Drosophila melanogaster: one gene and its partners. The protein of the gene in region 2 interacts with the protein of the main gene of each other region in a pairwise test. Each region holds a gene or a part of one and is shown on either strand. Other genes may lie near its edges. The genes, in order: CG14818, RpLP0 and Trs33.

Region 1 (3,085 bases), on a different chromosome or scaffold from region 2:
CTAAAGCGAATGATTAGTCCGTGGGATGAGAATGACTGTATCGAGCTCTTCGATCCGGACTACTCCGGGGGACGCAAGACACCGGAGCTGGACTACACCCAAAGTCATCCGGGTACGGATGAGGAGATAATACTCAAACTTATAGCGTCCATGAGTTCGGGAAAGAACGAGGACGACGAAGGAATTGAGGCGGAAACCAAAGCTACAGATGTCGAGGATTCCGAGGTCGAAGAAGAAGAACCTGAATCCGAGCCAATGGAAACCGCCTCCAAGGAAGCTGAGTCCGAAAAATCGTATGCAGAATATCAGCCAGACTCAGCACAGACAAGCGACGAAAGAGTGCAAGAGCTGCAGGCCGAGAATGCGCGCCTCAAAGCGCAGTCAATGCGCTTGTTCCAGATAGCTTTCAAGTATATTACTAGCGATACCAATGGCCAGGCTGAAATCACAGAGAAGACAAAGCGCAAGAAAGCGCGGAAGACATAGTGAACCTTAAGCTTGCTTTCAATTACGTTTACTTAGGACTTAGGACAAAAATACATGATAATAGAAAAAAAACAGCACTGATTGTGCCTAAAAACGATTTGGATGAACAAAACAATAACTTCTCGTAGAGGGATCTACTTGGGTGCCGCTTCGCTGCCCGCCTGCCCGTCCATGTTGTCATCTCCCGATTCGGGAGCGTTGTCATTTTCCTCGGCAATCAGGCGACGGATCTCTCGGTTGGAGTTCAGCAGCTCCCGTAGTTGGGACATAATGTCGTCTGTGCGCTGCTCCACGGCGTCCAGGGCACAGCTGAGAGCGTCCAGACTGTTGTTCACGTCCTCCATCTCTGTAGGGGTCATTCCATTAGAGCCAATCCCGAGCAGAAACGGGGCGCTGTCAAAACTCACCTTGGAGGTCCGCCTCCTGGACATTGGTGTTGCCAGAGTCGCCGGACGACGAGGGATCATGATTGTTTTTGGGTGACATTTTCCCTGGAATTTTCCCCGGAGTTTTTCCGTTTGTTTTTTCCAGTTGGATTTATTGTCACGGGATAGCTATAAACGATAGAGGTGGTTAGAAGAGAACGATAGGTCTCAGTTCAAATACGATATAAAAAAAAAAACTTAATAGGGGAATTCAGTACATACGTACGTTTTTGTAATTACGAAAACACTTTTTAGCTCAAAACACTAGGCGAACATAATCCACTGCAAAAGTCCAAAGCTAAGTTTCCACTTAGTTTTTAGGGATGTGCCCGTGCCTCGTTTTATTTTTACGTACCAATGGAATAGCATGGGAAATTTTGGCTTATTCGCATATGTCGTGCCTAATTCGTGACACGAACAATGAAACAAATGGTTTACGTATCTCTAGGCGTTGACTGGACTTAATCGAACGGTTCTTTCCCATAGTGCTTAATGTTGATTGGCCAGAGTTGACCCCTTCTGACAATGAACGGCTGTTTAATTTCTCAGAGCGATCAGCGGTCGTACTCCAACGTTTTCTGTTCGCCTGGTGTCTACAGTCGATAATCTTGCCCATTTTGACCGAAATAATTTTGAAGCATCGAATTGCGACAGTAGATTTCTTGTTGCAATCATGAGGCGAGCATAATAAACAGAAAGTGTACTAGCCTCTGTTTCTACGTTGTTTTTAGAGATGTGCATGTATATCGTTTTATTTTCACAACGCAAGCAAATTACTAGGGATTTTGGTATTTGCTCGAGCATGACGTGCCGATTGCGTGTCACGAACAGGGAAACAAGAGGGGTTCACATCTCTTCTGATACTCTTGCTTAAGCTTTGGTCTAACTGTTCACAAGGCTGCATTCCTATTGGTTCAATTGCGACTGGAAACATGCAATATGCGACCATTTTGGAAAAAGAAACTGTTTCTTGATTTTGTCGACATGTATCAGCTGGCTGGCTACTGGCTACTGGTTTCTGAACTCCAGATATTCAGTCGAGAATCGCATGCGAATGCCCGTAATATTTGCTGGCATCAATATTTAATCTGTTGCCTAGCGTGACAGTCGGCCACACTGCACCTCACATAACATAACCGAAAAATGAACAAATGTTTTAGGTGCCAGCCCCGGATATCGCTTTTCCAGTTCAGCGTGAGTCCATGAGTGTGTTGCCTTATAGGATTCGGATTTTCAATTTCTTGTTTACACAGCTACCGCGGTGCTATGCCGCAGTGCAGCCGGGATGTCCACCGCCACAAGAAAAACCCGTCGTCGGTTTGCCACACAAGCCCGATCCCAAGACGGTGAAGTGCGACTATATAGGACCGCCAGACGCGCAATCAAACCTACGTCCGTACGTACGGCACTACGGCGATGAGGAGACGCGGCTGGCAAGAAGCCTGCGTCTTAAGCGGATCGAGGTGGAGGCATGGAACACGGACTTCTGGACAAAACACAATAAGCGCTTCTACGAGGTACAACCACGACCACTGTGCCATCTCTTTCTAGTCCGCTAATGTCGTCTCTTTCGAATTGGTTCGTTTACAGGAAAAGGAAGACTTCATCCGCCTGCACAAGGAAAGCGGAACCAGCGAAGTGTCCGCGGACCAGATGAGCCACTTCTACAAAGCGTTCCTCGACAAGAACTGGCGCATCCACATCATGTACAACATCTCCTGGTACCTGAAGAACTTCGACATACTCACCCTGGCTGCCGCAGTCCAGCTCCAGAGGCTTCTGGCGCTGGCCAAGCGAAGATCTTAGGTGCAATATCTGTCGTCCCCATTTCGTAATTTCCAGTTTGCCGTTTGCAATAAGTTGGAATAAAAGATCACGTGCGTAAAATGGTGGCATAAAATTTACTTAGCTACTATTTAAGGGGATGAAAAATACACGTTGTTCGGAGTTAGTTAATGTACTTAAAAGTAATCGCAAACTATTTAAATAAAATAAAATAGAAGTAGGTGTTCATATCCTTATCAGTGTATATATTCAAAGAAGGTTGCGCACGATACACGCAGCGAAAGAAGGATCGCTCCCCATGTAAAGTGGCCGAATATTGAAAGATAACCGCTACAATTATGATAATAATAATAATGGTAAACAGAGGGGAAGGCACACACGCATAAAGT
Region 2 (4,070 bases):
ATGAAGGCAGCAACTTTGAGCTTTTCGCGAAAACTAGCAGGCGGCGTTTCGGGTGGCATTGGGAAGAATGGATTTCCCAATTCAGGCAGTTGGCCATTAGCGTTCTCAGCGGGAATAATGGCTTCAACGTCCATGGACTGGAAGCAGCAATCGTACAAGGCCCTTCTCTGATGGTCAATCAGGACGCGATGGGCCTCGTTGATTCTAAGGAACTCCTTCGCTCCATCCTCGTTTTTGTCGGGATGATATTGCAGGGACAGCCGCCGAAAAGCATCCTTAATCTCACTGTCGGTGGCATTTCTCGGTAAGCCCAGAACCTGGTAGTGATCTTCGTAGACATCGCTCATTTTGGCCAATTGGTCTATTTGATGGGAGAATAATTAGATGATTTTATCGATAGTAGCACGATGGTCAGTGGTTTTTGGTGCAGAAGTCGGTATTTATTGATGTTTATGTTGCGGGATGTAAGGCACTGGGAAAACCTGAGAAAACACTAAAGCTGATTCTTTCATTACAAATAGAGATGCACATCTGAAATGTGTGTTATCTTTGTATGGAAACAACATCGATAAATACATCGTGTCATTTGTCGTGTCATCGTGTCAGCGAAATAATATTCGCGACAAGAACATATTGTTTAAGGAAAATAAATGCGTCTTTCGTTTCTTCATTTGCCATCATATTTTATTGAGAATACGAGTCATTAGGTGGCCAACAGAAACAAAATCTAGAAAAATATGTCTTTTTTTTCAGAACAAACCATTATATTTCCGTCTTATCTGGTACATACCAAAGACACTAGAATATTCTAGTGTTATTCTATTCTATTCTATTATTATTATTCTAGTGTCTTTGTACATACTATATGTAGTAGCAGACTGGCTCTGCTTAGCAACAATTTGTAATAAGCAAGTGCATTTAATTTTCTCTACTATGGCATTGTTATATTTTTTACTATTTGTATCGCATAAACGTTTTTTAAATTAAAAAAAAACAAAACTATTAGTTCGTCTTACAGTATTTATCCGTTTTATCATTCGATTTGGCTAAAGGTATTAGCTATTTTCGAGCAACAGTCGGACGAATTCCATAATTTTTATTTATCTTACTAAATAAATAAATAAATTAATCAATAAGTAACGCAGGATTCATTAGATAAACAGTCAATAATTAAGTTCCTATAAATTAATCTTAAAGACTATTCAGCGAAGAACGCTAGGTACCCGAGATTGCTTCATCAAGCCCTTGGATCCTTAGCTCAGTCCGAGGAGGATCCATCGCCGTGGGTAGCCTCTTTTTTCCGGTTGAAGAACTGGAATGTCTTGTAGGCGGCGAACGCAAAGAGCACGGTTCCTCCGACGGCGCACATGAAGGGGAGCATGTCTGGCGTGGGCTGGGCGAAGGTCGCAGCAGGCTCGTCATCACATTTGAGACCCTCCTCGCCGTGCTGGTCGTATATCTCGCGCTTTTCCTTATCAAAGAGCACTTCGAAGGCGGCCACCACCTCCCTAAACTGCTCCTCGGCCTGCGGATGGTCGTTCTTGTCCGGATGGTAGCGGAGAGCCATCCGGCGGTATCCCTTCTTGACGTCTTCGCTGGACGCATTCCTCTCGATGCCCAGAATCTTGTAGTAATCCTTACCCATTGTGGTGAAATGGTATTCTCCTTGTTCTGGCTGAGATGGTCGTCTAGCGGTGTTGCGCCGTGTATGGAATGTGAGGCAGCGTCTCGACTTGTTGGTGCTTATGTGGTAATGCGAGTATATATTGCTGATTCGATTCGCTGATTTAAAACATTATTACAAATAAACAGTCAATCGATAAATTATCGGCCGCCAGTGGCCAGAGTGACCCTACCTTACCACCAGAAGCACTGTTAGTTAACAGAAGAGATTCTGACGATCGTAGCAGCTGTATAGGAGCACTATTAGCCTATTAGTAATTAATGATCTGTTAAATCTATCTTTTTTGAGTACTTTAAAAGGAATTACACATTTCGAAAATAGAAAATATTCATATCGCTTACCGGTTTTGGTATTTTTTCAGACCGTGCGGTATCTTATTCGCCATCGAAGCGGTCACACTGGGTGCCGCCGCCAACTTCACTCTTTCCGTTCTGTGAGCGAAAACCGAAAAGTCTGTGCTTTGGTAAGTGTTGCTAAAAGTTCGGAATAATGTTGCATCCCGAGCATTTTCGGGTACATAACTGTTCCACGGCGGTGGTCCAGCAAAGACTAATCGTTATCACGCCTTTCGCAGTTCTTAAATTCACCCGACGAGTCCCTAATACACAATTAAAATGGTTAGGGAGAACAAGGCAGCGTGGAAGGCTCAGTACTTCATCAAGGTTGTGGTAAGTATAGAACCTTATAGAATTCGCTCACTAGCTGGCGCCTGGCTTATGCTGTTAACTGATCCCTCCTCCAGGAACTGTTCGATGAGTTCCCAAAGTGCTTCATCGTGGGCGCCGACAACGTGGGCTCCAAGCAGATGCAGAACATCCGTACCAGCCTGCGTGGACTGGCCGTCGTGCTTATGGGCAAGAACACCATGATGCGCAAGGCCATCCGCGGTCATCTGGAGAACAACCCGCAGCTGGAGAAGCTGCTACCCCACATCAAGGGCAACGTGGGATTCGTGTTCACCAAGGGCGATCTCGCCGAGGTGCGCGACAAGCTGCTGGAGTCCAAGGTGCGCGCCCCCGCCCGTCCCGGCGCTATTGCCCCTCTGCACGTCATCATCCCGGCGCAGAACACCGGCTTGGGACCCGAGAAGACCAGTTTCTTCCAGGCCCTGTCCATCCCGACCAAAATTTCCAAGGGAACAATTGAAATCATCAACGATGTGCCCATCCTGAAGCCTGGCGACAAGGTCGGCGCCTCCGAGGCGACACTGCTCAACATGTTGAACATCTCGCCCTTCTCGTACGGTCTGATTGTCAACCAGGTCTACGACTCCGGCTCGATCTTTTCGCCGGAGATCCTGGACATCAAGCCCGAGGATCTGCGCGCCAAGTTCCAACAGGGAGTGGCCAACTTGGCCGCCGTTTGTTTGTCCGTGGGCTACCCCACCATCGCCTCGGCCCCGCACAGCATTGCCAACGGATTCAAGAATCTGCTGGCCATTGCTGCCACCACCGAGGTGGAGTTCAAGGAGGCGACCACCATCAAGGAGTACATCAAGGACCCCAGCAAGTTCGCCGCAGCTGCTTCGGCTTCGGCTGCCCCCGCGGCCGGCGGAGCTACCGAGAAGAAGGAGGAGGCCAAGAAGCCCGAGTCCGAATCAGAGGAGGAGGACGATGATATGGGTTTCGGTCTGTTCGACTAAGCTGGATCCCGATTGCAGAATGCCCTCTGCGGCGCCCGCGAACCATCGCTTCCGCTTTCGGCGTTTACCCACTAAGACCCTTTGTTATGTTTTCTATGTGCAAATTATTGCCGCGGTTTGACGGACCCAATGGCGAGTTGCATTAAACATGCTGTAAACTGCTCGAAAGCGCACTCAACTGTCTTTTAAACTTGCACTCGAATCGGGATAGGTGGACATGGTGGGATTAGGACTCCAAAATCCAAAGGCTTCCCACTTTTCTTCATTTCCCTTTAAATATCCGAGCGACGGCAGGTACCGCCTGCAGCTGCTCCCGGTCATCCGGATATTTACAAAGTAATTACTTGCGATAAAATGAATTTCACAAGATGAGAAAAGTTTAAAGTTTCTGCTGCCGTTGTCGGCTGCGACTTTTGCGATTTCTTTTGCTTTTCGCAAAGGACATCGTCGACGGAGGAGAGACGCTCATAAAAATTCAATTTGTCTTGACAAAATACGCAAGAAATTAAGAATGTGCCAAGTGGCGGCAAAAGAAACTTTCCTTCCCTTTTTCCCAGTTTCCTGCACATTTCTTGCTCTGCTCGTCTGGCGAGCGAAAATGAGTTACGCGACTGGGGCGTGAAAGTGCCACGCCCTCGCGGCGATGTGTCGCGCCTGGAGTGCTCAAGGGGGGGGGGGTGGCGGAAGGGTGGTCAGGAGATGGGAGCTGGGGAAGCAGTAGCCGCGGGCCAAGTTAAACACTGC
Region 3 (3,052 bases), on a different chromosome or scaffold from region 2:
AATGCGGGATACGCCTGCAAAGCCAATCGAATGTATTCCTCGGCGGTGGATAGTTGACCGTGCTCCCGATACAGGTTGCCGAGGTTCATAAGAGCTGACTCATAGTTCGGATACAATTCAATGGCCCTGTGGTAGTGCTGAAAGGCTTTCGTATTGTTTCCCATATCAGTGGCCAGTCGGGCTATGTTATAGTGTACCTTGGCATTGTCAGGACACACCTGTAGCGCGGACTTGAACAACTGCTCCTCGTTAAGCCAGTCAGTAGCTCGCTGCCGAGTCCGTACCATCATAACCGAAAAGAGCAGCATTAAAAGAATCCGTAGAGCAGTGCGCCAGTGGGTGTTTTCCGTACTGCTGTCATACCAATATAAGAATCCATAGATGGACAGCAGGCAAAAGCCAATGGAGGGTACATAGAGCGTCCGTTCGGCAATCACGAATCCTACGCAAATGATTCCCGACGCGGGCAGGAACGGGACGATCATTAAACCCAGAGCTAACATCATTCCGGGCAGCCGTCGGAAGTTCATCAGAGCCACCAATACGATGGAGTAGAATCCGATGACGCCCTGCAGTCTCAGATCCCAGATGTTGGTCACCAACTTGACGCAACCCAATGCCCAGTCGTAGCATAGCCAGTGGGGGCACAGCATCAGCCAGATGTTCATGACCAGCAGATACTGCTGGGAGAGCCCACGGGTCAGCACGTGCTCATTGTGCGCAACGGGGTTGTCAACTTCCTTGAAGGTAGGCGTCTCAAAGTCCTGCCACCAAAGGCGAGCCGTCAGCAGACCCAAGGTACCCAGCAAGTAGAACAAGTAGCTGATCCGGGTGCGCAAAAGACTCCACTGATCCTTGAATCGCAGATGATAGTAGCCGTTTTGAAAGTAATCCAATAGTACACACGACATGGGGATGGTCACAGCGGACTCCTTGAACAGCATTCCCACAGCGGTGAGCAGCATGATTAGACCGCCAGTCTGTGGACCAAGTCTTCCGGTATTGGCCACGGTCAGCAGAAGACACAACAAGTGAATCATGCCGAACATGAGCTCGGCCCTTCCAACCACACCAGAAACCGCCTCTGTGTGAATTGGATGGGCGGCAAATAGAGCAGCGGAGAGGATGGCCCATCTTGCCGTGCTGACCTCCGGAACATAGAGAGAGCGAATCAATCGCCACATGAGCAGCGTGTTGACGCAGTGTAGCAGGAGGTTTAGGAACTTCATGTGGGCGGCACTTAGCCCCAGAAGGGCATACTCGCAATGGAACATCAGGGTGGTCAGTGGCCGAAATGATTTGTGGGAATCGGAACTGAGCAAGGAAGCACCCCAGAAGTCGTGCGTGAAGATCGCCGTCCAGTTGGTGGGCAGTGAGTTGACATCCCGGTTCTTGACGATGGCCACCGTATCATCGAAGACAAACTTCGCTCCACTGAGGCCACCGCATCCGTAGCATAGCAAACAGATTAACACTAGGATTGCCTGACAGACCATGCTATGCAGCGTGGCTTTGTGAACGAGGTCTAGCATACTGGATTATTTACTAATTGTCAATTGTTCAAGTTTAATTCACTTATTCTGCGAATTTTAATCGGAATTGTTTTGTATACATTTTTTGTTGTGTTTTTGTCCAAACACCCCCTCACTGAATAGTGATGCCAGATCAGCGATAGAAATGTGTGCAGCTTAGCTAAATATATGCATCGAAAAATATATGGTTATAAAATGATTTGAAATTACGCTAAATAGATCTATCAAATCTGCTCATTTTAGAGTATTCATATTAAAATAATTATACATACTCTTGATATTAAAGTATAAATAATAGTAATAACAATAAACCACTAAAAGCAAACAAGACATTCGCCCGTTAACGCTTGCAACAGCTGTTTAAATCTAGATCAAAACAAATCCGAGGAAAAATTTGTTGAACTCACAAAGAAAAATTAAATCCTCGAAAATGTCTGAAGAAATCCTTTTCGATTGCCTCCATGCAGAGATAGTCAATTATTGTCTGGATAGCAATAAGGTAGGAACACGAGGGACGCAAAAAAAAATCAGTCATACAACCGATTTTGATTTGGTTCCGCCTATTAGGAGCACGACCTGGCCACTTTGGAGTATATAGGCTTCACCACCGGCTACCGCCTGATTGAGCGGCTCACCCGTGAAGTTTCGCGTTTTAAGGACGAGTTGGAGACTATGAAGTTTATATGCACCGACTTCTGGATGCTTATATACAAGAAGCAAGTGGACAACCTGAGGACGAACAACCACGGAATGTACGTTGTGCAGGACAAGGCTTTCCGCTTTCTGACTCGCATCTCGCCGGGCACCAAGCAGCTGGAGCACGCGCCCAAGTTCGTGGCCTTCACGTGCGGGCTGGTGCGAGGAGCTCTCAGCAATCTAGGCATTAACAGCACCGTGACGGCCGAAGTGCAAAGCATACCCGCCTGCAAGTTTCACATAGAAGTGAACAGGAACTAATTAGGATGTAAGGCAATGGTTTATTACTACAATTATAGAGATACTACAGACTAGACTAGGCTATCTTTTCGTAGAATGCCACAATGTTGTGGTCAGTCCAGTTAAGGCGTTCTCGCAGGATCCACTGGTCGATGGGCAGTTGGGGCTGGGCGGGATTGGGATCTGTGTGGATTCCCAGGGCGGGCAATGGTCCAATCAATATAAGCCACTTTCCTTGATACACATTTAGATAGTCCAGAAAAGCTCCTCGATTGTTGAAGTAGCAGAAGAGCAAGGCACACGGATGAACGTCACTGCAGCATTTGGTCAATAAATCCGTATCCAGTTGGCTGGCATCCTCTAAATAGTTAAGCGGTATAAAACTTCGAACGGAGTACTTGCTCTGCCACCAGTTGCGATCGACCTCCAAGCCAAACATGGGGACTTTCCGACCTCCAGACACTGTCATAAGCCATTCCAAAAGCCCACTGCCGCAGCCGATGCTCAAAACTCGCTGGATGTCGTGCATGGCTAGCAGCTGATTAAAGTAGTCCAAGTCCACCGATGTCGGCCACATCCAGAGC

Evidence for each region.
Region 1: the proteins of RpLP0 (region 2) and CG14818 interact in a two-hybrid assay, tested with the Drosophila melanogaster proteins (one large-scale study listed by BioGRID).
Region 3: the proteins of RpLP0 (region 2) and Trs33 interact in a two-hybrid assay, tested with the Drosophila melanogaster proteins (one large-scale study listed by BioGRID).

Annotation. Positions count from the first base shown.
Region 1 is NC_004354.4:1,878,519-1,881,603, forward strand, and holds CG14818 (uncharacterized protein), read right to left. Parts: upstream 1,257-3,085; 5' UTR 1,138-1,256; intron 1,063-1,137; exon of another isoform or gene 1,041-1,062; 5' UTR 973-1,040; coding exon 894-972; intron 833-893; coding exon 621-832; 3' UTR 501-620; downstream 1-500. Other genes in the region: CG14805 (uncharacterized protein), read left to right, coding at 1-486; Coa8 (cytochrome c oxidase assembly factor 8), read left to right, coding at 2,055-2,105, 2,165-2,428, 2,502-2,717.
Region 2 is NT_037436.4:22,073,990-22,078,059, forward strand, and holds RpLP0 (ribosomal protein LP0), read left to right. Parts: upstream 1-1,877; 5' UTR 1,878-1,937; intron 1,938-2,045; 5' UTR 2,046-2,147; intron 2,148-2,258; 5' UTR 2,259-2,298; coding exon 2,299-2,352; intron 2,353-2,426; coding exon 2,427-3,326; 3' UTR 3,327-3,498; downstream 3,499-4,070. Other genes in the region: CG7133 (uncharacterized protein), read right to left, coding at 1-347; CG7130 (uncharacterized protein), read right to left, coding at 1,259-1,645. UniProt on the Drosophila melanogaster protein: Ribosomal protein P0 is the functional equivalent of E.coli protein L10.
Region 3 is NT_033777.3:15,349,831-15,352,882, reverse strand, and holds Trs33 (TRAPP subunit 33), read left to right. Parts: upstream 1-1,887; 5' UTR 1,888-1,962; coding exon 1,963-2,031; intron 2,032-2,099; coding exon 2,100-2,489; 3' UTR 2,490-2,538; downstream 2,539-3,052. Other genes in the region: Tmtc4 (transmembrane O-mannosyltransferase targeting cadherins 4), read right to left, coding at 1-1,532; CG42727 (uncharacterized protein), read right to left, coding at 2,545-3,052.